4 linked regions of the Stegostoma tigrinum genome follow. The main gene of each other region encodes a partner of the protein of the gene in region 3 in a complex. Links are inferred from orthologs where the notes say so. Each region holds a gene or a part of one and is shown on either strand. Other genes may lie near its edges.

Region 1 (6,909 bases), on a different chromosome or scaffold from region 3:
ATGACCAAGCATTGCTGATCTTTCACAAGTAACTGACTCTTGACTGCAAGTAGCATCAAACAGAAGGGATCTTTGAATGCTAAGGTGAAGCACAATGTGCAGGAATAGCCCCAGGGCCTTGATGGCATATTTCATTCCATTCTGCACCCACCTTGTGATTACAAGCATGGAATCCATGATGTCTGATATGTCTGTAGAGGGAAAAGCTCTTCTAAGTTTCAGGTTTTCAAGGGAGTGTATTTCAAGGGAAGGCTGTAAGCTGTACACTTCACTTGTTCATTCTCCCTCATTGGCCTACCAAGAAAAGTTTCATAAAGTACTGCCTTTTACACATTCAACACTGTCCTAAAGATGCTGAAACACTGCAGGGTAACCTAGTGGTTGTTGTGCATTCAGAAATGTTGAATGGTAACCGATGATGGAAGGCTGAAAGGTGAGGCCTCAGGATTCCTCTGAAGCTGCTGCCTATCATTGAGAGACTTCGCAGCACAACACTGGATATCGGACATTGACAGAAGCCTTAAGAGTTACTTAACTTGTAACACCATGATGTTCCTATAAAGTCTGATTGACTGATGCTTTCTGCTCTAAGACACAGTAGGATGTGTAATGTGTAGATACTTTATGCTCTTCCAGCAGATGACACAGTTCAGTGAGGCTGGCCAAAAGGTAGCAAGTGTTCCAAGATGGACAATGAATCATTTATTCAGCAACAATTATGGTCCAGGACTGTCACTGTAACAAAGTCCAACTGTCCTTTACATTAAGCAACCAACAAAACGTTAAACAGTTAAAGGAAGTCCAAGCTCAGCTTATTTATCCTGTGTAAATCTGAGGGTTTTGTAAAGGTGTTGAAAGAAGGTAGCCCTTATGTCCCTTCAAGCATCCACGTATGGCCCAAGGACTTAAGAAGGATGCAGGAACCTGTGAGTTCTCCAATATGTAATACTCATGGAAGTTTTTATGATTATTGTGTAGATCTCCAAAATCCACCATGGTTGGCCATCTATAATTTGAACATTGATGGAATGGAAGCCGTTTCTGTTAATTAAATTCTGCGGACTGGTGGTAGGATGCTCTCAAAGCAACATGGGTGCAGTCTGGGCAAAATCAGTAATGGTGGAAAATCCCACTAACTGGGCTGCCTAACACTTCTTTCCTGGTGAAAGAATATAAACAGTTGTGATCTTGAGAAAATGGCATCAGTGATCTCTAGATCCATGTGTGGGTTGAGGTTTGGGAAATGTCCCACAGGTCCCCAGTTGGTCCTCGAAATCAGCTGCTGCCATTAAAACTCAGAGGATCTGAAACCATGACAGCTACTGGAATGGGGTTTTCATTTATTCCTTTTGAACGCAAATCCTGTTTTAGCAGTTTTCGGATATACTCCCTGCGATCATGCTTCCGAGAGCTCCTGTCCCTGCCTATGCCTTGAGATCCAATCCCACACTATCTCAAAGTGCCCCTTTCACTGTAACCTTTCACTGCTACCCATCCCAACGAAGCCATGAGCGGACTTGTGCTTCCACTTTCCCCAGGACTCCAGGTATAAGGCCAGGGATATCTCCCTGATAACACCACTGATCATTTTGGAACAAACCTTCAGGACTGTCCAAGGTCCTTGCCTTCAACTACCCTGGTAGAACAGCCCCAACAGAGTACAGTCAACCACCTGGACTGATGCCTCTACAACACCCTGATTAAACATACCTGTAACGCCAGACTGGTTCCACTTGGCTGCAAGATTGACCGTGGACTGCAAAGAATCAGATTCCCTGACCCTGACTGACCCTCTGTATTGTAATTGGACAATCCCATTGACCTTTGTGGCATTACCCCTGACTGTAGACCCCTTTGACTTTCGGATATGACCATTTACTTGAAGCATTTGTACTGTTGCCCCACAAGCTGCTAGCATGTGTTGCAGGTCTGACATTGATGTAGCATGGTGCTGTACAGCAACATATCCATCCCCATGACTGTTCAGTGCTTTCATTCGTGACAAGCTGCCTACTACTTGTTCTATACCAAAAAGCAATACGAGAGGCTGGCAGTCTCCAAGTGAGCACTGAAGAACAAATGTGCTAAAACCAACACAAGTCACAGAGGCTGGTAGCCTCCAAGTATATAAGTACAAAGTAAGTAAGCACTAAGAAATGATATTAAGATCTGTAAGCTGAATTTTGTTTAGATTCCTTACATATGTGTGTGCCCTTGCACGGAAGGTGACCTGCAGAATCATGCAAGTTGTAACAGTACCTGTGCTCCAGAATCAAATCCTGGAGGGCTGTAGCATTGTAAGTTGGACTGAAATGAAGTATGGTGATAAGACGGTTGGTTTGCTGATGCTCACTTGTTTGGAAGAAGAGTGGATAGTGTCTGTGGAATGTGCAGGCATGTTGTGGTGAAAACAGAGATGGATGACAGTTGGATAAGCAATCAGCTGCCATCTTTTCCGGCCTTCATGTTGGGAATTCATGGCTGAATTCCCAACATGAAGGTATGTCAGAGAAGAAGTGGAAGTGACATAAAATTAGGTGAGTTTGGCTAATGAGATGTAAATGCATGGAGAAAAGGTAAGTCTCCACTCAGTAACGAGATTCTGAAGTCACCATTTAAAGCATAAGGGGAAAATTGGGAACTTTTTAAATGTCAAATTTACAATTTTTTTCATTCATGCGTACCTTCACAATTTTTTCTCATTGCCCATACTACTTTAGGGAGGTGCTGTACAATGTGTCTAGCGTAAAAGGCATGGAGAAAATTTCTCCCAAGGGACTAAAAGATACCTGCCTGGATTACCTTTCCCTACTTTTCTTCTGGCTCTCAGTGACTCTTCGTTTGACACCACCAAAATATTCTAATCAGCATGTGCTCTTTGTAGCTACAGACTATTAATCTACCCATCTCAGATACATAATGCTGTTGCTCCAACAGGCTGTGGACTATAGAATCCTAACTGTGGGAAACAGGCCCTTTGGTCCAACAAGTCTACACCAAATTTCAAGGCATCCCACCCAAAGCCATCCCCCTATAACCCACCTAATCTACACATCCCTGCATACGACAGACAATTTAGCACAGCCAATCCACCTAACTTGCACATCTTTGGACTATGGGAGGAAACCGGAACACCCAGAGGAAACCCACGCAGACATGGGGAGAATGTGCAAACTCCACACAGTCACCGGAGGGTGAAATCGAACCCTGGCCCCTGGTACTGCTTACCATTGTGTCACCCTTTACTATCACCTTCCTTCACTTTATTTATATGTCAGGACTTCACTTGACAAAAGAACAGCACTCCAAAAACTTGTCATTTCAAATATAACCTGGCGTCGTGTGACTCTTGACTTTGCCCATCCCAGTCCAACACTGGCACCTCCACATCATATTTTATTTATCAATATATGCTGGCCAATGATCACAAGAAACTATGTTTCATTTAAAATATCACCATAAAATAAAAAAGAACTGGAAGTATTACAAATCTGAGACACAATCTACCTTTAAACTTTAGAGCTCTATATCAGTAACTATTACAGGAACCCATATAATCCAATCAGTTATTAGTAGCATGATTATAAATTACTAATTCTGCAGTTATTCTTTTTGCAAATATCCCTACATGACATTTAATGCGATAAAAGTTCTGGATATTTGTTCTAGCCTTCAGGAGATTATTTTCCCGTAATAATGAAGGCTCCCAAACCTCTTCCCAAATTGAGATCCACAGTTTGCACTAGCCTTTTCCACTGGATTCCATCTCCCGAATTCGACTTCCAGACCCACCCACCCCGGGACCAGCCCCGCCTCCCCCAGGCCGAGCTCCGCCCCTCCCTCGGGACACGCCCCCCGCTAGCGTCATGCCCCGCCCATCTGGCCCATCGGCTCCCCCCCTCCCCCAAGACAACCGGTCCAGCCCCGCCGAGCGCACATCGAGTCTCGCGGCATTTGGTTGCCGTTTCCATGGTGCTGGTGGTAAATAGACGGTTCAGGAATAACTGCTCAGAGCAGCGGCATCGTCAAGATGGTGAGTGTCGTTATGGAGCAGAAACGTTCAAACAAGAACCACATAGGCTTATGCGGACAGATTCGCACCTTTCCCTCCCCCCAAACCCGCCTCATATCCCTCCCAAATGCCCCTCGTTTACTCCTCCTTTCCCTCCCAAATCCCCCTCGTCTACTCCTCCTGTCCCTCCCAAATCCCCCTCGTCTACTCCTCCTGTCCCTCTCAAATGCCCCTCGTCTACTCCTCCTGTCCCTCTCAAATGCCCCTCGTCTACTCCTCCTTTCCCTCCCAAATCCCCCTCGTCTACTCCTCCTTTCCCTCCCAAATCCCCCTCGTCTACTCCTCCTGTCCCTCCCAAATCCCCCTCGTCTACTCCTCCTGTCCCTCCCAAATCCCCCTCGTCTACTCCTCCTGTCCCTCCCAAATCCCCCTCGTCTACTCCTCCTTTCCCTCCCAAATCCCCCTCGTCTACTCCTTCTTTCCCTCCCAAATCGCCTTACCCTCCTGCCACCTCCCCACACTTTATCCACCTGCCTCCTACCTGCCTTTCTTTCCATTTCCCCTCTTATCACCTCCATCACCCTATGCCACTGGAGCCAGCACTCACCCAGACATAAAACGTCCATGTCCAACATGGCCCGTCAGACCCAAAACCCAGCGATCCAAGCCCACCACACCATTGCCTGTCCTGACCCATCTGGACTGCCCTACACACTCACCCATTTATGTGATATTCTAATCACATACTTAGCCTTTCACAATAGCCTTCTAAATGTCAGCTGGACATTTAAACTTCAGAATGGGTTTTGATGATCTTCTCTTGCTGCGCTTGAAGGATTCCTGGACAGGTTCATAGCAAGATACCCCTGCTCAGGAAGAACTATTTCCATTTAATCAAAAATGTACAGATTTTTGATTACACTGCAAAATTATCAGTGGCAGTATAAGACAAACCAATATCAGCGATAATAGGAACTGCAGATGCTGGAGAATCCGAGATAACAAAGTGTAGAGCTGGATGAACACAGCAGGCCAAGCAGCAAGTCAAACCAATCTTTTGTTAAAAGTATGAAAAGAAGCAAAAACTGCTCAGCCCCGTAACAGTATGGTCATGGCAAAGTGTATTCTTGGTTTTAGTGTTAACATTACCAACCTTACTAAGAGGCTTCATTACATTTCATTGTGTATTGCAAAAGGAATGTCATATTAACTAAGGTTTTCCATTAAACAGCCACCCAAAAAGAAGAAAGGGAAAGGAGGCAAGAAAGCAAAAACGCCAACGGTGATCGATGGCCTTTCTACAGAGGCAATGTCCAAGGAGCAGGCAAGTACATCTGTTTTGTGAAAGTGAAGACTATGTACAAATGATGTCTGTGGCAGATTGATCAATATGTTCCAAAAGTTGGTTGTTTGAGCTAGTCCAAGGATGTGACTGACCTTTGAATTTTATGTAATCAAGCAAAGAACCAGAGGAAAAATAGAATTGGAGGCGTGTGAGAAAACAGCAATAATTGAATAGCTCTTTTAGGACGAGCTAAGTAACTTGCTGTGTGATAGGATTCTGTATTTATAAAGTTTTCCATGTTTCAGGGGTTTCATTTGAAAAATTAATTATTCTTTATTGACCATACACAGTTGGAGGAACACATTGTTCGGCTGCGTGAAGAACTTGACAGAGAACGAGAAGAACGGAATTACTTTCAACTTGAACGAGACAAAATTCACACATTTTGGGAGATCACTAAGAGGCAACTGGAGGAGAGGAAGTCGGAGTTAAGAAACAAAGATCGAGAAATGGAGGATGCAGAGGAACGACACCAGGTCGAAATTAAAGTAAGGAGCCTAATTCAGTAATATAATTCCTGGTTCAATCTCCCAAACTTATTTCAGTACTCAGTTATATCATCATTGGTCTATATCTTAGGTCTATTTACCTGCCTTTGTTCCACTTCCAGTATGTTTTTCTGCATAGTAACTGTTTTTTCCATTTCCTGCTATTCCCCTTAGCCCTGCAATATTTTGAAAGGCTGTAAACTCTTGGGTTGTGCATTTCTTCTGCCAATCACCTTAAATTGGCATAATCTGATTTTCTTCCAATGGAACTGTTTCTCTGTATCTACTCTAAGTAAGCGCTTACGATTTTAAATGCCTCTACCAAATCCCTCTGTCTTTAAAATGATCAGTTCCAGCTTCTCCAAGCTGTCTAACTGAAGTTTGTCTTCCCTGAAATTATTCATGTCAATCCTTTCTACACCCACTCCAAAGCCTTCACATCCTTCCTAAAGTGTAATAACCAGACTTTGAAATAATGCTCCATTTGAAGCAGACTGAGTATTTTCAAAAAAATGTTCATTGTAATCTCCTTGTTCAATCTCAGTCTTAAATCTTGAAAATGCCAAGTTTACTACAATCTCTTCTTGAATAAGGAGTGGCATTTGTAATTTTCCATTTCAAAAGCACATTTTCTGAATCTAAGTATTATAGTAAAATGATGGCTAATACATGTGCAAGTTCCTCACTGCTACTTCTTATATGCTGGAGTGGACATTTACTTTATGTTTAGTCTAAGTTTCTCCATTACCATTTTGTTTACTTACATTCAATTGATGAAGTTTCTCCCCTTTATTTAGTTTATAGAAACCCTTACAATGTTAGTATTTTGTCCTCTTCCTTCCTTGTATCATTTTCACAAAGTACCGTACCCATTAAAAAAGACCTTTTCGTTATCGTCTGTTATAATCTTGCCAACATGTTTTCAGATGTTCAGATCCCCATTCTTTTTCTCTTGGTATAGTTTTATAGTTTCATATCAATAGACAATAGACAATAGGTGCTGGAGTAGGCCATTCGGCCCTTCAAGCCAGTACCACCATTCATTATGATCATGGCTGATCATC
Region 2 (7,882 bases), on a different chromosome or scaffold from region 3:
ATCTCTTGTCCAAACAATTAATTATTCAGATTAACTCTTTCTGTTAGATGTATTCAGTAATATTGTACTGCCTTGAGTTTCCTTCTGATACGGAATGTTCAAGGTTGCCCATTTTCTTATTCACAATGAATTTACTGAGGAACAGGTGGGATATGGAAAAAGATGGGCCATCTCATTACACTTGGATGACAGTTAAAAGTGCATCAAGCAGTTCGGGGTTGGTCTAGATTTTTTAAAAATCTAGTGAATTTTCCTTGTCACTAACCAATTTGAGTACTATTGGATGAGATTGTGCTTTCACTTTGAGAAAGAAGTAATAATCTTAAATGTTAAAACAATGAATTTTCTTTCCTGTAAGCCTAAAATACCACTATAGTTTGTAGATGCCTTTAGGTGAAGCTTATTTTTGGAGAACATTGACAGAACTGCATAATTTGATTTAAAACTTGTGAATGTCTTAAATTTTGATCACTACCTGTTAGCTGAGATTTAACAATAAAAGTGAAATGAACTTGTTAGCTGGTTATTGAATTGATTTAAATGCAACTTTTTTCATCATCTAAAACAGCCTCGAAGACACTCTGATAGAATTGATTTCAAATTGTTTATTGCCAATCTTGGGTATTTCAAGACGTCTGTGATTTATCATACACACACTTCACTTTTTAAATTAATTTTAGTGTGGCATATGAACATCATCAGTAACAAATTTTCATGCATGTTTTGATCTCCTCTTATGTTTTAAATCTCATTTTAATTAAGACTTACTAACATTTATTTTGAATTGCTAAAAATTGGGAGGGATTTGGTCCAAACTTCTCAACCACCTCATCATTTGCATCCCTCTGTGACAGTGCAGGGCATGGGTATGCCAAAGCCTTTGTTTTCTTTGCTTGTCTGAGTTCTGATCTCTGATTAGCTGAATTTTTGCATACATAATATTTGAGAATACCCTTATTTAGGTCACCTTCCTAATTTTAAATAAAAGTTAAAATATCTCATCAGTATTACACAACTTGTGATAGTAGATGCCAACTCTAAAGTACATGAGAGTTGCCAGAAGTAACTTAATGATTTTCATAACTAAAACAAATTTGTCTGAATGTTTTGGGTGAGGAAAATATTTTGCTTTGTACAACAGGATCGCCACAAATACTTCCTTTTTCGTTGATCATAATTTGCAAATCAGCAAGCAAGTGTCATTGAATGTGATGAAAGGCACAAGGGAGGAAACTGAATAACTGCTTCACTTTCTAATTAGAGGTTCCTTCATTCGGAGGAAGACCTACCTTATTTTCTTTTTGTGGGATGACTGTTTTTTGAAACCAGAAGTTTATTCTTGGGTGCAACAAGTTTTTTTGACATGTAATATTTAATTGTTTGTCTTAATTGGTATTGTCAGTGCACTCTGTCATCCTTTGCACAATTGAATTTAATTTGCTTTTAATTGGCTTTTTGTAGATACATTTGTGAAAAAAAGTTATGAACCTCTGTTCTAAAGGGGCAGAATTTGAAAGTGCCTACATTCCAGTAGTGTTCTGGTTATGATCTTGTGGCAAACTGGCAAAACATTACCTTGTGACTTAATTATATTGTTTGTTTGTAATAGGACCATTTAAAACTGCAGCTGAATAATTAAATGATCATAGTATTCAAATTAAGGTTTTGTTTGATTACACTAATTGATTTATTGTACAGAAATATTTCACTACAACTGACCACAATTTAATCTTGTTTCATGATGACTAAATATCTAATATGCCTTGACTTGATATTAATGTTAATGAGGAAACATTTTTGAAGAGCAAGTTGGGAAATTCCTTGCTGCCTTTACTTGAAACACCCAGTCTACCTCATTTTTACCTTTTTTATTAGAATAACAATGGGATGACTGATTAGTGGAATCAGTAACCTAATGGTACTAATTCTATAAAGATCATTTAAAAAGCCCTTGCCTGCCTTTCCACACCCCCCCCCCCCCCAATCATTATGGTTTTGTTATTTTTGTAAAGAAATATTGTAAGCTGTGCACATGCACTTCATTCTAAACTCTGTATGCAGGTCTGCGTACGCACTCTGAGCAAATTTGGTGCTGAAAACCAAGTGTATGCTGATTCACAGAACTGCATGAAGCGGCAGCTTAGTACTTGTAAAATTTAATTAGCTTACTGTCAAGAAGTACAAGGCTTTATTGTGACACATTGCATGATTTTGTAATCCCCAAATGAGCTGATTCATAATCAAAATGCTAATGTACTTGTTCAAAACTCAGTAAAATAGGATTCACTTGCATTGCAACCTCTGTAAGGTACACTTTCTTGATAATTGTTCTCTTTTGGTCTATGTTTTAAGTTATTAAAAGAAAACACTTTTTTAGGTGCTGTCTTCTTCAGATGAAGTAATGATCTACATGATTAAGTACAAAGTTCACAATCCTGTTGTATGCATATTATTGCTCCCAGAAAGCTGTTTAAAAATGTACCTGAAGTAATTCATCTGGTATGCTGTGTGCAAATTTGACAGCTTTCTTGTGTCTAAGTTTTTTTTTATATTCAGTTGGTCAGATTACTGACATATCACTCACCAGTCTCATTTTTAACTGAATTTATTGAGAATGCTACATTGTCATATCTACTGGTCATTATTTCACCTGAAGTAGTGCACTAAGTACATCTCTAATGTAGAATCCCTCTTCTGCTGTGACCATCGGAATAAAAATGTATGACTGCTGTTGGATGAGGTCCAGTGGTGGTTTTTGGTTTGTAAAATGCTACCAAGTTATTTATTGTAAGGATAAACATTGAATATTTAATAAAACTGAAGGAAAAAGTGGTCTGATTTATATTGTCTCATACAATCTGATAACTGAAGTACTCAAAATTACATGATTTATTGAAAAAAAAACCCTTTTCACACCCTTTTTAAAAATTTCTTGATTGTAAAGCATGTTAAGATTTGTCATCGTGGGGAGGGGGAGGGGTATCCTGAACTTGATTTAAATAAAACTACATGCATAACTTCTATATACCCCCAACTGTAACAGATTTTACTGAACTATTCAGTAGTAATTTTCTATTAGTTTGAATTTTGTACTGTGGATGTTGTGCTCTGTTCCTGGTGCATCGCATCTTTTTTTTGCAACTGGCCATACTAATTAACAGGAGCTCTTGATCTGTAGTTCTAATTCCCATTAATGCCACTTTTGTTTTCATGGTGGAAGCCTGGGCAGGGGCTGTTAAACATCTCCTACATGGTGGTGGTCATAGATTTGGAAGGTGTTGTCTTAGAATCTTTTGAACATCTACAGTACATCTTTTTGAGACAACATATTGCTACTGAGTATCAATGGTTGAGGGACTACACTAGTCAAGTCAGGAGTGTTCCATCTCCCCTGACTTCTGCCTTTTTTGTAGATGGTGGACAGAATGTGATGAGTCAGAAGGTGATTTATCACAGTAATCCTAGCATCTGACCTGTTCTTGTAACCCCTGTTTTACGTAGCAACTGGCTAACAGTAGCCTGAGGATTACTATTGACTAATGGGAGATTTTGGACATAGTAATGCCATTGAATGTCAAGGGCTGGTGGTTATTGGAGATGGTCCAGTGGTAGTATGGCTATTGCCCAAATCTTGTTGCCTTTTGGGTATGGCCTAAATCTGCTGGAGGTGTCATGAATGGGGCTGAACACTAGTTAATAAGCATCCCTAAGTTTTTGTTTTTTTTTGGTGACTCTCCCTCCCATCCTCGTGAAGCAGCTAATGATGGCGAGGCTGAGGACGCTTTTCTCTTCTCTACTGGAGTTCGTGGGAGATGTCCTAGAGCTGAGAAGACTATCACTAACCAAAGCCTTCCTATCACGTGATAATGGGAACTGCAGATGCTGGAGACTGCTGTGTTGATCCAGCCTCATTTTATTACCTTCCTATCACGTGCTCAGTTACGACTCTAACAGTGGTATAACTTCCTCCTGATTACCTTTTTACTCTAGTTTTGGTAGGGTTCCTTTTATTAACTATCTTCCTTTGGTGTAGTAATGATTTGAAATTTTCAAAATACTAATCAAAGAAAATAGCGGAAAAGTACAGACTATCCTCAGCAGTTTGTGTTCATATGCTAAAAATGTGGTACCCGTAGCACTGCTTAATACGTCAGTTTTCCTCTTATTCTACCTGACTTCTTCTATTTTCCCCCTAGCACTATGCTGTGCTATGTCTGCCTCCAGCAGCTCCAGTTCTTGCTCTCCAAAGCCTAACCTTTTTTTTGTATAGGTGTCGTTACAAGCATCCATTTCTCCTCCCCTACCCTTTCAGAATTCATTTTATGCTGCTTTGAAGAAAGAAAATTGAGACATCATCTCCTTTACCTTCCCCTCCTTATTTCTCCCTGCCTACAACGCTTCCAACCTCTCCCCTGCACTGGACTCAAATCATTAATACAATTAATTTCCCCTATTAGACTGTACTCTTGAACTGAGCAACTAACAATTGCTATTCTGTTTAAAGTCACCCATTTTTGTCTTAGTATTGCTAATGGTCCTTTCATTCCCTGAGCGGCTCTAGGCCTGAAACGTCAGCCTTCCTGCTACACCTTTTCTTATCAGAATCTGCAGTTCCCACTATCTCTCAATAAACTAGAGCCATACAAAGTTTTTAAACAATTTTAGAATGTTGTGGGGAAGTGGAGGTGTACGTTACCTTAAAGCCTTTCTGTCAGCTCTCTAAAGGACTCGCTCATTAACCCCCCTTTCTCTTACTTCAAGCCTAAATCATTGTGGCCGGATTGTGTTGCTCTATCTCTCCGGCCAGGCAACTTGGTGACGTCACGGTCTCCTGGCGACCGCCGTCTCCTAGCGACGGGCATCAACCGTCTCCCGCAGGCCCAGCGGGGAACCGGCCGCTCCCGCTCCTTACCGTCTCCCGCAGGCCCAGCGGGTACCGGCCGCTCCCGCTCTGGTCCTTACCGTTTTCCGCAGCCCCGGCGGGAAACCAGCTGCTTACCATGTCGGACACACTTATCGTTCAAGCCAATGAATCGGCCGTCAACGTCAACTCCGATGTCGCCGAGGAGAGAATCGCCGCCCGCCGCATTCGGATTGCCCAGCGGCTGGAGGAGAAGAGACGGTGAGGGGGGGGCGGCGATGTGGGGTGGATGTACTTGGGTGTGTGTGGGGGGTGGAGGTGTTTGGGTGAATGGGTGGGCGTGTGTGTGGGGAGGGGAATGTGGGGTGGATGTGTTCGGGTGTGTGTGGGGCAGGGAGGTGGATGGGTGGGTGTGTGTGTGTGTGGGCGGGAGTGTGGGGGTAGGAGGAATACCTCTTCCAAGTGTTTAAGGATAATGGATATCCAAAGAACTGGGTCAGGAGATACCTACAGGAACAGCATCAGAAAGATTCTACATGCCGGACACACTCATCACACTGCCCTACGTCAGGAACACATCAGCAAAACTCACCACAAGACTTCCACGACTGCTGGGCATCAGAGTGGTACACAAACCCACATCAACCCTACGACAAGGGCTCACCCAAACTAAAGACCCACTCCCCGCCATGGACAGGACCAATGTCATCTACAAGATCCCCTGCAGAGACTGTGAGAAACACTACGTTGGACAAACAGGGAGAAACTAACAACAAGAGGACATGAACACCAACTGGCTACAAAAAGACACAAACAATACTCACTCATCTCAATCCACGTGGACAAGGAGAACCACCAATTCGACTGGGAAAACACCAGGATCCTGGGACAGGCTAGACAGAGACAAGCATGAGAATTCTTGGAAGCATGGCACTCCACAAAGCAGGCTATTAATAAACACATTGAACTCGGCCCCAAATACATTCCACTACGGAGAAAACCTGGAAGTGAGGCAATCCCTTGCAACGGACCCCTGAGTTTAAACGCCAGGCGGGAAAACACACTGACACTTCATCAGAGGCTGCATTGACGATGTTACCAAGCATGGTAACGAAACATGTGCAGGAGAACAAACCAGCTCGCCGAGCCAACCAACCTTAAAACGTTGGGTCTATGTGAGCCTGACTTCACACATTCAAGCTTCTTTTTTGCAAAAAAAAACAAAGCTATTTACTCACATTTCGATGCAGCAGCCAGGTTTACAACACCCTTCCCAAGAGAAACAGGACCGAGCAAATCCCTCTTAAGGCACATATCATCGCATTGCCATATCTTGTGTGTCCTTCTGATGCTGTGAACCAAATTGGTTAGGTCTACGATTATTACCTGTTGGTCTATAACAAAATATGGAAGATGAACTTAATCAATGAATGTATCTCTGCATTCAATCACTAATTCTGTTGGACCTTCCACTTCCTCTTATGAGAGGATGCTGTAAATCAAGTTACAGTTCTGGTCACCGCATTATAACAAGGATGTGGAAGCTTTGGAAAGGGTGTTTAGGAGATTTACTAGGATGGTGCCTGGTATGGAGGGAAGGTCTTACGAGGAAAGGCTAAGGGACTTGAGGCTGTTTTTGTTAGAGAGAAGAAGGTTGAGAGGTGACTTAATTGAAACATATAAAATAATCAGAGGGTTAGATAGGTTGGATAGGGAGAGCCTTTTTCCTAGGATGGTGATGGCGAGCACGAGGGGGCATAGCTTTAAATTGAGGGGTGAAAGATATAGGACAGATGTCAGAGGTAGTTTCTTTACTCAGAGAGTAGTAAGGGAATGGAACGCTTTGCCTGCAACAGTAGTAGATTCACCAACTTTAGGTACATTTAAATCGTCATTGGACAAGCATATGGATATGCATGGAATAGTGTAGGTTAGATGGGCTTCAGATTGGTATGACAGGTCAGCACAACATCGAAGGCCGAAGGGCCTGTACTGTGCTGTAATGTTGTATGTTCTAATTGTTCACTTCACACCTACGTACAGAGGACCAGCTTTAACATAATGAACTGTAAAGCTTATTACATTCGGTCATAAATATTAATTCAGTATTTATAGAAAGCATTTCAGTATAAAGAGCACAATTTTCACATTCCTTTATCCAGCTAATTGAGTCACAGAGTTCTTACAGCACAGAAATTGGCCTTCCAGTCTGACGTGTCCACAGCAGTTAACAAACCTCCATCTATTCTAATTTCATTTTCTCACATTTGGTTCATCGAAACAGTTCTTAAATGTCTCTCCTGTTTCCATCTCTACCATACTTTAAAATGGTGAGTTCCAGCTACCTCCAACCCTCTTGATGCCCTCCCCAACCCTCTTGATGCCTATTATTATTTGCTATTACCCACAGTTTTTACAGACATTGTTATTATTTTGTTTAATGTCTGTTCTGACTGCTGATAGCGTAGCTGCTGTGCTTTTAGCCTGAGTTCATGCGTCCCATTTCCTTTTGCAATATGACTGAAAATGTAACCCTTAAATAACTGAAACACTTTCAGCTCCATTGCCCTCAGCATAAATTCTGTTTTGGCACATTTAAGATTATAATCGTAAGACATAAGAAATAGGAGAAGGAGTAGGCTATTTGACCCCTCGAGCCCACTCTGCTATTCAGTAGAATCATGGCTAATTGGACACTTCTTGCCCAATTTCCTGCCTTTCCCCATAACCTTTGATTCCTGTACCAATCTATTGCTGTTCAGTTCAGCAGAAAATAAGTTTATTCTAAAAACAAGCATTTATTACCATGATAGGATTCAAGTATTTGTCTGGTTGCTGCCCTGATAATTTATATTATTAAGTAATTAATTATTATTCAAATAAGTATGTAACATAGTCACGCAGAGACAGCATGTCTTCATGAATGGGAAATGATGCCTGACAAATTTATGATAATTCTTTGTGGAGATAACAAGCAGGAAGGATGCAGGGGAGCCAGTGGATGTAAATTATTTGGATTTC
Region 3 (7,808 bases):
AGAGACGCTGGAGTGCAGTTTCGTAGTTCCATCAAAGTACAGCCACCGGTAGAAAGGATATGAAGGAGACATTTGGTGTGCTCGCCTTTATCGGTCAGTGCATTGAGGATTGGAGTTGGGAGATCACTTAGCAGCCATATAGGACATTGATTCAGCTGCTTTTGGAATACTGCCATCGATTTTGGTCTCCTTGCGAGAGGAAGGATGTCGGCGCAACAATGAGGGCCGAAGGGCCTGTTCTGTGCTGTCTTGTTGTATGTATGTATGTATCATCCCTCATACTTCTAAACCCAAGTGAACGTAGTGTTAACCAGTTCAGTCTATCTTCATACAACAATCCTACCATCCCAGGCATCAGTCTAACCTTTGTTGCATTCTCTCCATGGCCAGAACATCATTCCTCAGATAAGGAGACCAAAACTGCACACAAAATTCCAGGTGTAGTCTTACTAAGACCCTGTGTAATTGCAGCAAGACATGCCTGCTCCAGTACCAAATCCTCCCTGCAATGAAGATCATCATATCATTTGGCTGCTTCACTGCTTACTGCACCTGCCTGCTTACTTTCAGCAACCTGTATACAATTTTATTCAGGTCATTACACTATCCCCTTTTCCAATCTATCACGCCTCCTCACTCCATATATCAAAATGCTCAAGAACTACACATTCTCTCTTCCCGAATTCTGTACCTATATTTTCCTCTTCCCTAGTGAAGACAGATGTGAAGTACATTTAATACTCTACTAATGTCCTCCAGCTCCATGCACAGATTGCCCTCTTGGTTCCTAATAGGCCTTACTCTTTCCCAGGTTATCCTCTTCCCCTTAATATACTTAATGAATACCTTGGGATTCTCCCCAGCCTTACTGGCCAATATTTTTTCAAGACCCCTTTTGTTCCCCTCATTACTTTAAGTTTCACCCACACTTTCTACACTCCACCATGGCTGCTGCTCATTTATTCCCATGCACCTGCTAAAAGCCTCTCTTTTCCTTCTTCTACAGTTCTGGATATCTCTAGATGTCCAGGGTTCTCTGGATTTGTTTCTCCTTCATTTCACCCTAAAGGGAACATATTGAGCCTATACTCACCCCAAATCCTTTTTGAATACCTCCCCTCCCCACACTGCTACCTCAAACACCTGTCCGGCTGCGATTCCCAGAACTATGTCCAACACAGCACCGTCCATTGTTGGACCTTCTATATGTTGGTATGACAATGATTCCACTTGTGGTTATTATTTTATTTGCTCATTTAGTTTGAAATATGCTGCACGCTACTTAATGATACTGCTATGATCCAGTTCCAGACTGTCAAGTTTATGTCATGATCTGGCTAAGGACCTGTAACTTATATTTTCAACATGGACAATATGTGACATCCAGGGGACTCATTCTGAGAAAAAGGCCACAAGACTCCACAATAACGACCATAAACTTTACTATACAATGTTAGAATAGTGATACAATCTACAATATGTTCGGCTTATTTCTAACACCCAAAATTAACATGTGATAAATAGGGGTAAGCTATTTTGATCGCATATCCTCAACGAACATCAAGTAGCAAATGCAATCCAGACAGATACCATGGATTTCTCAACAATTCCTTACAGATGTTAATTACACACTGGGTTTCCAAATCTCATTATACGTCATAAGGGGTTACAATTATGGATTCTTGCTGATCTGGCCCTGGAATTCCCTCTCAAGAATCATTCAGACATAGACTGCCTCAACAATTGCTCCTGTTCTGGTCAATCATCATCCTTTCCTGCATTTGCATCCCACTTTCCTCACCTTCCAACCATGAAACTGCCTTCCACTACTCATTCAAAAGCATAATTCCAGCTCCTTACCAAAGGAACTTCAACAAACTCAAACTGCCCAAGGTTTTTTTATTTTCTCCCCAAGCTCTAAGCTAATTAGACAAGAGCATGTCAGAGAGCAAAGTAACTCTGAAGAATTAACCTGCATTTATTTTGATGCAACATGTTTTACAGGTGAGGCTAATGAAGGCATCATAGCTATTACAGAAACTTAGCGGAGGGAAGGACAGGACTGGCAGCTCAATGTTCCACGTTTTAGATATTATAGGAAGGATAGAAAGAGAGGCAAGACAGGAGGGAAAATCACATTTTTGGTGGAGAGAAATCTTTCGACTGTAATTAGAGAAGATATTTTTGAGGGGTCATTTAGTGAAAACATATGGGTTGAACTAGGATTAAGAAAGAGATGATCACCTTGATGAGATTGTACCATAATCTCCTCAACAGTCACAGAGAAATTGAGAAGCAAATATGTAGCAAGATCTCAAATATATGTAAGAATAATAAGGCTGTAATCATAGGGGATTTATTTTTCCATAACATTGACATGGAATGCCATAATGTTAAAGGTTTGGATGGTGAAGCATTTGTTAAATTTGTTCAAGAAAATTTTCTTTATCAATATTTAATATTCCTACTAGAGAAGGAGAAACCCAGCAAAGATCCTCAGATGGCACCTTCTAAACCTATGTCCACTTCCATCTAAAAGTCAAGCCGATACATGGGAACACCACCACCTTCAAGTTCGCCTCCAAGCCACTCAGCATCCTGACTTGAAAATATATTGCCATTCCTTCACTGTTGCTGGGTCAAATTCCTGAAATTCCCTCTCTAATGGCATTGTGTGTCAACCCACAACAGCAGGCCTGCGGCAGTTCAAGAAGACAGCTTACCAATAGCTTCTCAAGGGCAACTAGGAACAGGCAATAAATGGTGGCCGGCCAGCGACACACCCTTCCCATGAATGAATAAAAAAGCCTTGACCTTCTCTTGGGAAATAAGGCAGGTTAAGTGACTGAATTGTTAGTAGGGGAACACTTTGGGACCAATGATCATAACACTATTAGTTTTAAAATAGTTAAGGATAAGTCTTCCATAGAAGTTAAAGTTAATAATTGGAGTAAGGGTATGTAACAAGAACTTTCAAAAGTTGATTGGGATAGGCAAAGGGAGGACTGACAAGCCGGAGGCATTCAAAAGTGTGATAACAAGAGTTCAGAGGTATTATGTACCTGTTAGAGTGAAAGGCAAGACTGGTAAGATTAGGAAACAATGGATGAATAAAGATATTGAGCTTCTGGTCAAGAATTTTAAAAAATCATATATTAGATATACAGAACTGGGATCAAATGAATCTCTTGAAGAGTATAAAGATTTTGTTGTAGTGTAGGAGGTTGTGGTGTGATATCATTGAGATTTATAAAATCATGATGGGCATAGATAAGGCGAATAACAAAGGTCTTTTCCCTCGGGTGGGCGTTGCCCAGTTACCTCCCTTGACAACAGTTATTGGCTCAGCAGTCTCATAGCAAGTGGATTCTTCTGAGCCCGCTCTGCTCCCAAAACGTCTGGGAGCCTTCACCACACAAAACTATTCGACTCCTCTGGGAATTCCCTGAGCCCTTACTGTACAAAGCCTGGGTAGTTCAGCTGCCTTTTACCGCACTGCTTAACACATTGCATGCTTCTTTTCTTATCTGTCTCCTTCTTAAAATAATTGTAACCTTGAGCTCCTACATGTTGATTGAAAACCTTGCAACAAACCTTTCTCTAAGTGTTGGTGGAATTGAATTTTGCCACCTCTTGCCAACTTTTGGAATGTCTGTTCTATAAATGTTACCAGTCATAGATTGCTGATTTAGTACAAAAAATGAATACAGATAGAAAGCACAGCATTAATTGCCTTTTTTTCTTATTCTCTCATAGATGTTTGTTGCCCATCTGTAAATACAGTAAAAACTGTGTGGCTTGCAAGTCACTTCAGTGGGCAAGTGAGAATAACCCATTTTTATGGGTCTGAAGTCCTATGCAGGCCTGATCAGCCAAGAATGGTGGATTTCTTTCCCTAAAGTACATGAATGAATCAAATAGGTTTTTACAACAATGATAATTTCATGATCACCATCATTGTGACTGTTTTTTAAAAAATCTGGAATATAAAGTTAGTTTCCGCAGTGTTAGCCAGTACTTGGATTGTTGTAAAAGTTACCATATAATGTCATTGTTGAACTATAATTTTAATAAATAAGGAAATTTGGACATTTTTCATGCGGTGGGCTACTATGTTACGCATCTACAGTGCATTGTAAAGTAAGCTGCAAAGGGAGTCACTTGCCTAATTCGTGATTTTTGTCAGAAATGTTTCATTGTGGTTAAGGCCAATTGTTAGACGTGCTAACCAAGTTGAATTTACAATATATCAAATCGGCTCTGATAAGTGGACTAATTTATTTTCTCCAGACGCCGATGAGAGTTTATTTCGGACAGTAATGGATTTTGTTTCAAATTTTACTTATCCCAATCGACTGATTTGCAAGTTATAGATCTGCCTCCGTAGCGTCTAACGTTGAGCGAGGAAGTATAGCACAGACGTCGTGCATTTGAACTATGTCGGAGTCTTCTCAAACTGATCTCTGATGAAGGGTTTAGGCCTGAAACGTCAGCTTTTGTGCTCGTAAGATGCTGCTTGGCCTGCTGTGTTCATCCAGCTCCACACTTTATTATCTCGAATAAACTGTGGATTTTCCCTGGGGGGGGGGGGTGATACATGTTGAGTAGGTGCGTTTGAAAGGGATTGTGAATTTTAAAAAGGTAAAAGAGCCCGTCACCAAGATTGGAAATCTCTAAATACGGAATTCTGGCTGTGGAGCCGTTGCGGTGGCGGTTGGTCTTTCCTTTTCAAAGCTTGTTACTATGGTGACAGTAAACAGGCGGTGTTCACGAGCGCTTTCGCCTGACAGTGAAGCTGCGCTCGAGCTGCTGCTATGGTGTTCTTAAAGTTCGCAGATCCCGTGTTGAAAGACTACATCAAATCACATTCACTCCCCCAGATTTATGAGGTAATTCATTGCCTTTTCTTTTTTAAAAAATCCGCTTTGCATTTGGTACGTGTGTTGGAAATATTGTTTGTCCAGCGTTCAGCCGGATAGAAATAATGCGGGAAAAAGTCACAGCAAACTGAACGAAATCACTGTAACCAGTGTAAAGTAAGCACCTACGTAAAAGTTTAAATTATACTGCCGCCATCTGACAACTAATTAGCACTTACACGTTTATATCACATTAGCAGGTTTAATTATAGTTATTCGACATATTCAGACATTAATAAAAGACACGCATTTGTATTGTGCCTCCAACGACTCTCGGTCGACTCGTTGAAATGCTTTTGAAATATAGTTACTATTGTAATGGCCGGAAAAGGCAGACGATTGGCGCACAGTAAGATTCCACAAACAGCGCAGTGTAACCGAACAACCAATTCTTTTTCTCAGTATTTAATTGCTGAAGGTTGAGTAATCGCCAGAACACTGGAGAAAATTTGGAGCTCTTCATCACGAAAAAAAAGATTTAATGTTGCACTAATAATTTCGTAAAATATTCAAAGGTTCATTCCAAAATATTTCGAATTGGATACTGATGAAAATGCTGTATACTATAATTTTCCCCCCATTGAACATGTTTCATTCTTAGATGTCTCAACCCAATGCGCGTGACATTTGCTCTATGCATTCAGTGGCAAGCATACGGCCCAAGAAGTCCTGTAAGTCACCAGCTCCCTGTTTCACTGCAGGCGAAAGGTTTTGAAGCACTACAAGCTTAATGCAATTTTTAACGTATAACCCTGGACCTTGGAACTTGTCCATATGGAACATTCTGTTGAGGATAACTTTTTGCATTGGAATGCTACCAGGATTTGGACAGAACGAGAAAGTGCTTTTCATCATGATCTTTGCCTCAGTATGTGCCTCCTGAGAACAACCCGTGGAACATAAAATTCTGCACTATAGATCTGCACAGGATTTACATTAACAAAATCACTATCTATCCCCAGATCTTCCTTGCAAGGGCACATTCCAAAAGGAGATTTGCAATGCTCTCTTAGTCACCACAACCATTTGAAGGATTGCGTGGAATGCAGAGACTTCAATCATGCATGAATGAACAATCTGATAGGCAGTGCCCATCTTACTAAATAACTTTGACATTTCTGCTCAGAAACCATCTGACAGGATCAACTATCTCCTTTTCTCATATGGTCATTAGTATGTTACATGCTGACCATTGCTTGATGGTCAACATGCTTTTCCGTATAATTTTTCCATGAGGGACAGGTTATATTCTATGGTTTGACAATTTGGAGCTTTATGTCACAACGTAGCCAGAACCCATGTTTTGCAATGCCAGGGACAGGTAGAATCTTAGCATGTAATGACACTTGTTGTTTGTGCGCACAGCTTCATGTAGCCACACACAAGACAGGTAGAGTGATTTTGGGTACATTTTTCCCATTTCTATCCAGAATTTTGCATATGGTATCCCTTCAGAAACAATCCACCATTGGTATCCACATAAGATAGAAGCTGGATCGGATGATTTCTGCAGCATAGATTCAGAGAACATGAAATGTAGCAACACCTGTAGTCCAAGTCCTTGCTCGCAATGGAGCAGGTATGTTGCTCTCACATATCCAGTACTGTCACACCTCGGCTGCACACTCCTCCCTGTACTTAGTATCGGATCTTTCACATTCACCAGAGAAGACAGATAAGATCTCCACTTTACATGCTGCATAAAAGACAAGACCTTCAGAGTGCTGTTAGTAATACATTGGAATTAATACTGTCTAGATTTGGTGTTTGTGTCTTTGGGTTGGAATTTGAAACTTCGCTCTTTAAATTAAGTTGATTTCTTTGGTTTAAGTTTGTAGTGAGTAGCAGTTAAAATTAAAGTAAATGATGAAAGAGCATGTTATCACGATAGTCGCCAGAATATTTCCATAAGGCAGCTACAGCCAGCACAAATGAATATCTTTTCAGAATTATGAAGTCACAATTATCTGTGTAACTGCTAGCTGTTTAGAATTACTTTGTGACAGAATTTCATTTGCTTCTGGGATTGGGTTTGTATTTTCTGAAATTTAATTACAGGCAAGTTTTTCAAGGGAACTTGATAAGATGTAATAAGATAATAAAATGTGAGGCTGGATGAACACAGCAGGCCAAGCAGCATCTCAGGAGCACAAAAGCTGACGTTTTGAGCCTAGACCCTTCATCAGAGGGTCTTCATCAGACCATCTCTGATGAAGGGTCTAGGCCCGAAACGTCAGCTTTTGTGCTCCTGAGATGCTGCTTGGCCTGCTGTGTTCATCCAGCCTCACATTTTATTACCTTGGAATTCTCCAGCATCTGCAGTTCCCATTATCTTTGATTTGTAATAAAACTTGATTTGCAATTTTTAAGAAAAGATTCTAACATCATACATTGTCTTATTGTAATGAAAATGCTTTTCTGTATGACAAAAATGTTTGAAAAACTTCAGCACAATGTTGGAGCCTGGCGATCATGACTAGGGGGAGAAGAGTCAATTCTCACATAACTCAGAAATCATTTTATTAATGCTGTTCGACAATACACATGTAGTTGCATGTTTGTTGGCACTAACCAAAAGCTAGAAGCTAGTTGTACGCCGACTGGGTTCCTTTGACATTCCCTGAGAAATCACAGAACATAAAGGCTAATACTTGGGCAGGATAGCTGTGGCATGGTGGCTCAGCAGTTAGCACTGCTGCCTCACAGTGCCAGGAACCTGAGTTCAATTCCACCCTCTGGTGACTGTGGAGTTTGCACATTCTCCCCATGTCTGTGTGGGTTTCCTCTTGGTGCTCCAGTTTTCTCCCGCAGTCCAAAGATGTGCAAGTTAGGTGGATTGGCCATGCTAAATTGCCTATGGTATACAGGGATGTGTAGATTAGGTGAGTT
Region 4 (7,319 bases), on a different chromosome or scaffold from region 3:
CAACATGTTCTGGTCTTTGAAATAATTCCAAACTCTTCATCAACACCATTGAATGGGATAATAGTGATTTTCTTTTTGGCAAGATTATAAATCCCCACAGAAGTGACATGATAAATTGCTTTTTATTGCTTTGGGAATAGCATAGCTCTCTGTCCTTAAGGTTCTGGTCTCTGATTGTTGTTCAAGAAAGAAATTGAAAATGAATTGCATACTACCAGCAAAAGAGGGAATAAAATGGCAAAATATAAAAAGCGAATTTTAATATTTCATGTACTCTTTTCTTAATAGCAGTGTAGAAATAGTTTTTGGTAGTACAGAACCTGAACATTGCCTAAAAAGGACACATTATTTTCAGGTTTTTCATTTTGCACTCCTCAGGACAATTCACAAGAATATTGGAAAATAAGGGAAAACATTTATACTGAATGATGAGAGTGCTGACTGGTTGGCAAGTGGATTCTTGTTAGCAAAGACATTGCCATGGAGAACTTACCAGTTAGATTGTGACTGACAATTAAATGCCAAGACATGTTTAAATTTTAAATCAGGCAATATTACTCTGATTGGTCAAGGCATTTGCCTGAGAAATGAACCACAGAATGGATGTCGCCAGCATTCTCTCTAATTTTTTTTCTGACTGCATGAGCCTCCAAGCCGAATATCTGAAAGGTTTTATCAACAGGTGAAGCAAGCTTTTGAAAGTGGTATCACAAATGCCGTTCACCACTAACAGGATTCTGCCATTAAGCTAAAAAGATGTTTTCCCTGTTACACAAATGAATAATGTGGTAAATGAATTTCAGTGTCAGTGTGGTGCTAGCTATGTGGGCCATGTGTCCTCAAAGCTGGAAAATTATATCAAACAGCAAACCACTTTGGCTGTTGCAACAAATAAGACTGTAATCAACCAATCAACCAGCCCACACTTGCAAAATTCAAAACATGGTGCCAAACATTACATGTGACTCTGCAAATGGACAATATTTGCTACATGATCCTGAATGTGCAAAGAATTATACTGTCAAACATTGTAGGATCATTAGAGATAGTAGGAATTGCAGATGCTGGAGAATCTGAGATAACAAGGTGTAGAGCTGGATGAACACAGCAGGCCAAGCAGCATCAGGGGGGCTCCTCTGACGCTGATTGGCCTGCAGTGTTCATCCAGCTCTACACCTTGTTATTGTAGGGTTATTAGTTGGTTTGTGGCATATGTATGCAAACTGGAAGCTAGAGGGTGCTGGTCTTTGATGCTGGAATATGGACATACACTGTGCGCATTTCAACTGAAGAAAATAGATGATGGCCATTCTCTGGTTCATTTCTCAGGAATATGCGTTGATGAATCAGAGCTAATTTGCCTGGTTTAAAATGTAAACAAATCTTGGTAGTTAACTGTCAGTCACCATTGAACTGGCACATTCTCCATGGCAATTCATTCATTGGGAGACCATTTGCTAATCAATCAACAGTCCCCTCTCATACAGTACAAATATAGTTTCTCCATTACATTGGTATTCTTATGGATGTCACTGGTTGGTGCTAGATAAAACATTTCACAAAAGTGTCCTTCTTGGCTGTACTCAACGTGAAAATTGGGCGTATTTAAATTAAAAGTTAAATTTCATTTACAAATATGATTTTAAAAAATCAGTAAAATGGTGTTTTTAAAAGTACAGCTGCTGGTAAAACAATCAATTTCCTATAAGAATAACCTCCTAGTTAAAAATTCTACAAATCTGACATGAATTATGGCAAATAATATTCACTAAATTGTTCCGAAGAAGGATCACTACTTTAACTCTGCTTTCTCTCCACGGGTGCTGCCAGATCTGTGAGTCTCTCCAGCATTCTGTATGTTCATTGCACTAAACTGTGGCTAGTCAAGCTGGATTTTAAATAAACTCATTTGTCGCCATTCATGCATTTTTGAACAAATATAACGTTTCTGTTTATAATTCGGAAAAGATGATTTTTTTCAATGTGTCGCTCAAGTGGCAGGTGACTCGCTGATATTGATTTCAAAACACCGTGGATTTTAACGCCTCTAGCTTTTTTTTAAAAAAAGTAAGCTGAGGCTCCGCTAGTTTTAATGAAGACGTGATCTTTTTGACAGAGAGCAAAACAAATCACTAGGGGGCTACAGCTCTCCCTGTCTACAAATGATGGGTTAAAATTCTTTCCACATCATCGTCCTCTCAGAACAAAGACCAGAGGTCTCCAGCTGAGCTCCATCTTGAATCTGGGCGGAAAAGATTAAGCTGGAATTAAGCTCCGGGCCTGAAGAGTCCCTTGTTGTTGATGGGTTTTCTATGTGTGTGTCTTATGGAGGTTGCACCATCACCATCGCCATCGCCGACCTTTATCCAAGCTGCTGCTTACCTGCCGCTTCTTTGTCGTCGGCCATATTGTTTCGGATGGTTGCTAAGGAGCGCAGTTGTCAAGGCGGTTGTCAATCGAAGGGAAAGGATGGGGAGACAATGTTGGAGAAATCCCGGTCTCCCTTCTTCTTTTTGCAGCTTTGACGATTTTATATCAAAGCGCTGTTTAACAGATTCGTTGTCTGTAAAATCTCTTTCCTTTAAAAATCTGTTTGAAATCCCTTGAACTCATCGAGGTCTACTGCACAGATAAGGCCCTCTTGACCCTCGGTCCATCCACTCAAAAACAAGCCCCTACCTGTTCTAATTCTATTTTCCCAGCTCTTGGCCCTTAGCCTCGTGTGCCTGGGCACTGCAATTGCACATTTAAATTCTTCAGTGATGCAAAGATTTCTCTCTACCACCTTTACAGGTAATGAATTCCAGATTTTCAACACTCATGGTTCAATAAGGTTTTCCTCACATCCTCTAAACTTCCTGCCCCTATCTTAAATCTATGCTCCCTGGTTATTGATCCCGCCATCAAATCTACAATCTCTTATCTTTATGTCTGCTTCTTAATTGCTGTCTCTCTTGCAATTGTTTGTGAGTGCCATGGAAGGTTTCACTATGATGAAGGCAAGTTGCGTATAAATCCGAGTTGTTGATCTTGTTTTTAATCTTCTATCTTAATGCAGGGAAGGAGGGATATAAACATACATGTGTATTGAAACCCAGACCTAGTGTAGTATTTCTGTCATGATTTTAAAACAAAATGTATTTTTATCCTTCAAATTAAACAATTGTATAACGACATATCTGTACGATATCTATCAGATATATCTGTATATCTGTAACAACATACAGCATCTTTAATAACTCATCACAAGATTTTCACAGGGGCACTCTGAAACAACATAAAAAGATATTAGGGCAAGTGACCAAATTTTTCTCGGTCAAGAAGAGGTAGAAAGAAGGAGTGCCTTACCCTTAAAGAAGAAAAAAGAGCTGAAGAGACAAAGAGGGAGGTAATTCCAGAGCTTAAGTTCTTGTTAATCAAATTCTGAACCACAAATGGTGGAATGGTTAATGTCTGTGATTTTGAAATCCAGCATTAAAGGTGGGTCAAGGTTGCAGAAGGTAGTGAGGTTGAAAAAGATTACAGATATAGGAACAAATCTATGAAGGGATTTGAAACAAGAATAAATTTTAAAGTCAAGAACTTGCTTAACAGTAAACCAGTATAGATCAGTGAGTGCAAGGTTGATGTGATAACAGGATTTGGTGTGAGCTAAGATACAGGAAGCAGAGTTTTGGATGACCTCAAGTTTAGAGGGTAGTCTGTGCAAGAGAGCAGGTAGGAAAGAATTATTCAAATATAGAGATGAGAAAGGAATGGATAAGAGTTTCAACGGCAGGTGAACTCCTGAGTGATGAGTGAAAGTAAATGGTCTAAGTAATGATATCACAGTATAGTTGGAAGCTCATCGTGGGTTCTAATATAACACCAATGTTGCAAACAGTCTCATTCAGTCTCTAGAGAGGGGAATTGGGATCTTTGGCTAGGGAGTGAGGTTAGTTAGCTCATCCAGTACTAACGTAATCAAGAATTTAAAGACATAGTGGGATTGGAAGAGTTTCTGGTGAGGACAGCTGGATGTCATCAATACATCTGGAAATGAATGTGTTTTCAGGTAGCGTTGCAAACGGTATCTTGAGTAGGAAAGTTTTAAGAGAGGCCTGAGGATAGATTATTGCAGGTCACCAGAGGTAATGGTTTGAGAGTGGAATTAAAAGCTGATTTGACTTGCTGGCTGCAACTATTTAGATAAATTTGGAACCCCGTGGGTGAAGTCCCACCTGTTCACATGACAGCAGAGTCATCGGAAGAGGACAGTTAAATCAACTTGCATGGAAGTCTACAGAGAGATTAAAAAAGAAGATAGAGCATAGTTTAACATTGTCACAGTCATACAGCCCTTCACTTATAACTTTGATGAGATAACAAGGTGTAGAACACAGTAGCGCAAGCAGTATTAGAGGAGCAGAAAAGCTGATGTTTTGGGTCTGGACTCTTCTTCAGACCTTCCATCCTCAGACCTTCTATTTCTGAAGAAGGGTCCAGACCCGAAACATCAGCTTTCCTGCTCCTCTGATGCTGCTTTGTCCTGCTGTGTTCATCCAGCTCTACACCTTGCTATCTCAGATTCTCCAGCATCGGCAGTTCCTACTATCTCTAACTTTGATGAGAGTTTTTTTTGATATGGTGTGACAGAAATCTGACAAAGGAATTCAATCATAGCGATCTAGGAAAGATGGATCTTAATTTAGGAGATGGCAACAGTTCCTCAGACAGCAGAGAGGATTTAAAGGAGATGGGGACAGCATCTGAGGAGGCAAAATTGTTCATAATATTATCTTACATAGGAGCCAGGAGAGAAGCTGGGTGGTCAGCAGTTTAGTGGGAATAGGGTTGAGAAAGCAGCATGCAGTTCTACAGGACATCATGGGCTCAGAGAGGGCATGAGGAAAGATATGAGACAAATATGGGACTAGAATAAGGTCAGCTTTACAACATTTGAGAGCATCCAGCTGTGCCCCTGTAGTTTATTTTCTATAATTTCTAAACTGTTCAAATTACTTCAACTTTACCCAGCCTTTGAATTCACATGAATTGCTTACTGTCCTTTTTAAGATAACAGCTCCTCCTTAACACGTCGAGATCCTATTATCTTTTCACCATGGATTTACAAGAAGAACTGCCCAGGTCCCAGGCAGAAGAGGATCTTGTGAAAATGGCAATTAGGAACTTCATTCAAATGCATAAGGAGGTAAAGGAGCAGCAGGCAGGTGATGTGAGGCAATGGCCCTTGTAGCCCAGACGCTGAAGAGCTGCAGCTATGCTATGGAGGTCTTTGCTACCTTAAGATCGTCTGCCTGCCTCTATACATAGGATGATAGTTGCCATGAAGAGCAAGCTGCAACACTCACGGTATGCTGGATAGCATATTGGACTTGCTGTGTATCAACCAAACCATTGATCCTCAGGACTGAAGGCAAAGTCAAAGGGATCGGGGGAACCTTGACCTTAATCCAGGTGCCCCTTCCTCCAGGAGGCACCCTGCTGGAGGAGAAACCACACACGAACCCCTCAGAAGTCTTCAATGAGTACAGCCCAGAAATGCTGGGTCTTCCAGCCCAACCCCGCCTGTGCCTCTCCAACCTGTGAAAGTTTGAGTCAAGGAAGATGCATTTGCCTCTAGCAAGGACACAGTCAGCTTGTTTGGGCCCTCTAGATACAAATGCCCCCAGTGTCACCTGACCAAACCTCCAAGGCCAAATGGCTGCAGTGTAGAGCAGGCTCCCTCTACCCAGTTGTGGCACCTGACACTGCATCGAGATGTAACAGGAAGGAAAGACATGTTGATGGCCTGGGTGACATAACCCTTAATATTAAGCCTCATATTTTTCATAGATGTTAAGATTTTTGCACTAAATCTGTATGTTTCAGTCTCTGGTCTACCCATGTAGCAAAATGTCCACCCTTGTCAGAAGTTTGATGACTAACAAGACAAGCTGCCTGGTTCTGTAACTATGCTAAGAGTCATGGCAAGGCAAGAATGTTGTGATGATACATGTGAGTGTTAAATGAGTGAATATTATGAAAGCAAGTGAACAACTCTGAGATGCAGAGATAATGGGAACTGCAGATGCTGGAGAATTCCAAGATAATAAAATGTGAGGCTGGATGAACACAGCAGGCCAAGCAGCATCTCAGGAGCACAAAAGCTGATGTTTCGGGCCTAGACCCTTCATCAGAGAGGGGGATGGGGAGAGGGAACTGGAATAAATAGGGAGAGAGGGGGAGGCGGACCGAAGATGGAGAGTAAAGAAGATAGGTGGAGAGAGTATAGGTGGGGAGGTAGGGAGGGGATAGGTCAGTCCAGGGAAGACGGACAGGTCAAGGAGGTGGGATGAGGTTAGTAGGTAGCTGGGGGTGCGGCTTGGGGTGGGAGGAAGGGATGGGTGAGAGGAAGAACCGGTTAGGGAGGCAGAGACAGGTTAGACTGGTTTTGGGATGCAGTGGGTGGGGGGGAAGAGCTGGGCTGGTTGTGTGGTGCAGTGGGGGGAGGGGACGAACTAGGCTGGTTTAGGGATGCAGTAGGGGAAGGGGAGATTTTGAAACTGGTGAAGTCCACATTGATACCACATGGCTGCAGGGTTCCCAGGCGGAATATGAGTTGCTGTTCCTGCAACCTTCGGGTGGCATCATTGTGGCACTGCAGGAGGCCCATGATGGACATGTCATCTAGAGAATGGGAGGGGGAGTGGAAATGGTTTGCGACTGGGAGGTGCAGTTGTTTGTTGCGAACTGAGCGGAGGTGTTCTGCAAAGCAGTCCCCAAGCCTCCGCTTGGTTTCCCCAATGTAGAGGAAGCCGCACCGGGTACAGTGGATGCAGTATACCACATTGGCAGATGTGCAGGTGAACCTCTGCTTAATGTGGAATGTCATCTTGGGGCCTGGGATAGGAGTGAGGGAGGAGGTGTGGGGACAAGTGTAGCATTTCCTGCGGTTGCAGGGGAAGGTGCCGGGTGTGGTGGGGTTGGAGGGCAGTGTGGAGCGAACAAGGGAGTCACGGAGAGAGTGGTCTCTCCGGAAAGCAGACAGGGGAGGGGATGGAAAAATGTCTTGGGTGGTGGGGTCGGATTGTAAATGGCGGAAGTGTTGGAGGATGATGCGTTGTATCCGGAGGTTGGTAGGGTGGTGTGTGAGAACGAGGGGGATCCTCTTAGGGCGGTTGTGGCGGGGGCGGGGTGTGAGGGATGTGTTGCGGGAAATACGGGAGACGCGGTCAAGGGCGTTCTTGATCACTGTGGGGGGAAAGTTGCGGTCCTTAAAGAACTTGGACATCTAGGATGTGCGGGAGTGGAATGTCTTATCGTGGGAGCAGATGCGG

Evidence for each region.
Region 1: fbxl13 (region 3) and gas8 share a complex: the UniProt entries of both Homo sapiens proteins name them as parts of the nexin-dynein regulatory complex. The link is inferred for Stegostoma tigrinum from reciprocal best matches to the Homo sapiens genes FBXL13 and DRC4.
Region 2: fbxl13 (region 3) and drc1 share a complex: the UniProt entries of both Homo sapiens proteins name them as parts of the nexin-dynein regulatory complex. The link is inferred for Stegostoma tigrinum from reciprocal best matches to the Homo sapiens genes FBXL13 and DRC1.
Region 4: fbxl13 (region 3) and efcab2 share a complex: the UniProt entries of both Homo sapiens proteins name them as parts of the nexin-dynein regulatory complex. The link is inferred for Stegostoma tigrinum from reciprocal best matches to the Homo sapiens genes FBXL13 and DRC8.

What each region holds. Positions count from the first base shown.
Region 1 is NC_081369.1:39,927,610-39,934,518, forward strand, and holds the start of gas8 (dynein regulatory complex subunit 4), read left to right. Parts: upstream 1-3,909; 5' UTR 3,910-4,030; coding exon 4,031-4,033; intron 4,034-5,243; coding exon 5,244-5,336; intron 5,337-5,647; coding exon 5,648-5,845; intron 5,846-6,909. UniProt on the Homo sapiens protein: Component of the nexin-dynein regulatory complex (N-DRC), a key regulator of ciliary/flagellar motility which maintains the alignment and integrity of the distal axoneme and regulates microtubule sliding in motile axonemes.
Region 2 is NC_081357.1:129,135,600-129,143,481, reverse strand, and holds the start of drc1 (dynein regulatory complex protein 1), read left to right. Parts: upstream 1-4,866; 5' UTR 4,867-5,000; coding exon 5,001-5,122; intron 5,123-7,882. UniProt on the Homo sapiens protein: Component of the nexin-dynein regulatory complex (N-DRC) a key regulator of ciliary/flagellar motility which maintains the alignment and integrity of the distal axoneme and regulates microtubule sliding in motile axonemes.
Region 3 is NC_081378.1:23,973,325-23,981,132, forward strand, and holds the start of fbxl13 (F-box and leucine-rich repeat protein 13), read left to right. Parts: upstream 1-4,793; 5' UTR 4,794-4,814; coding exon 4,815-4,889; intron 4,890-7,808. UniProt on the Homo sapiens protein: Substrate-recognition component of the SCF (SKP1-CUL1-F-box protein)-type E3 ubiquitin ligase complex.
Region 4 is NC_081362.1:86,343,378-86,350,696, forward strand, and holds the start of efcab2 (dynein regulatory complex protein 8), read right to left. Parts: upstream 3,004-7,319; 5' UTR 2,408-3,003; coding exon 2,383-2,407; intron 1-2,382. UniProt on the Homo sapiens protein: Component of the nexin-dynein regulatory complex (N-DRC), a key regulator of ciliary/flagellar motility which maintains the alignment and integrity of the distal axoneme and regulates microtubule sliding in motile axonemes.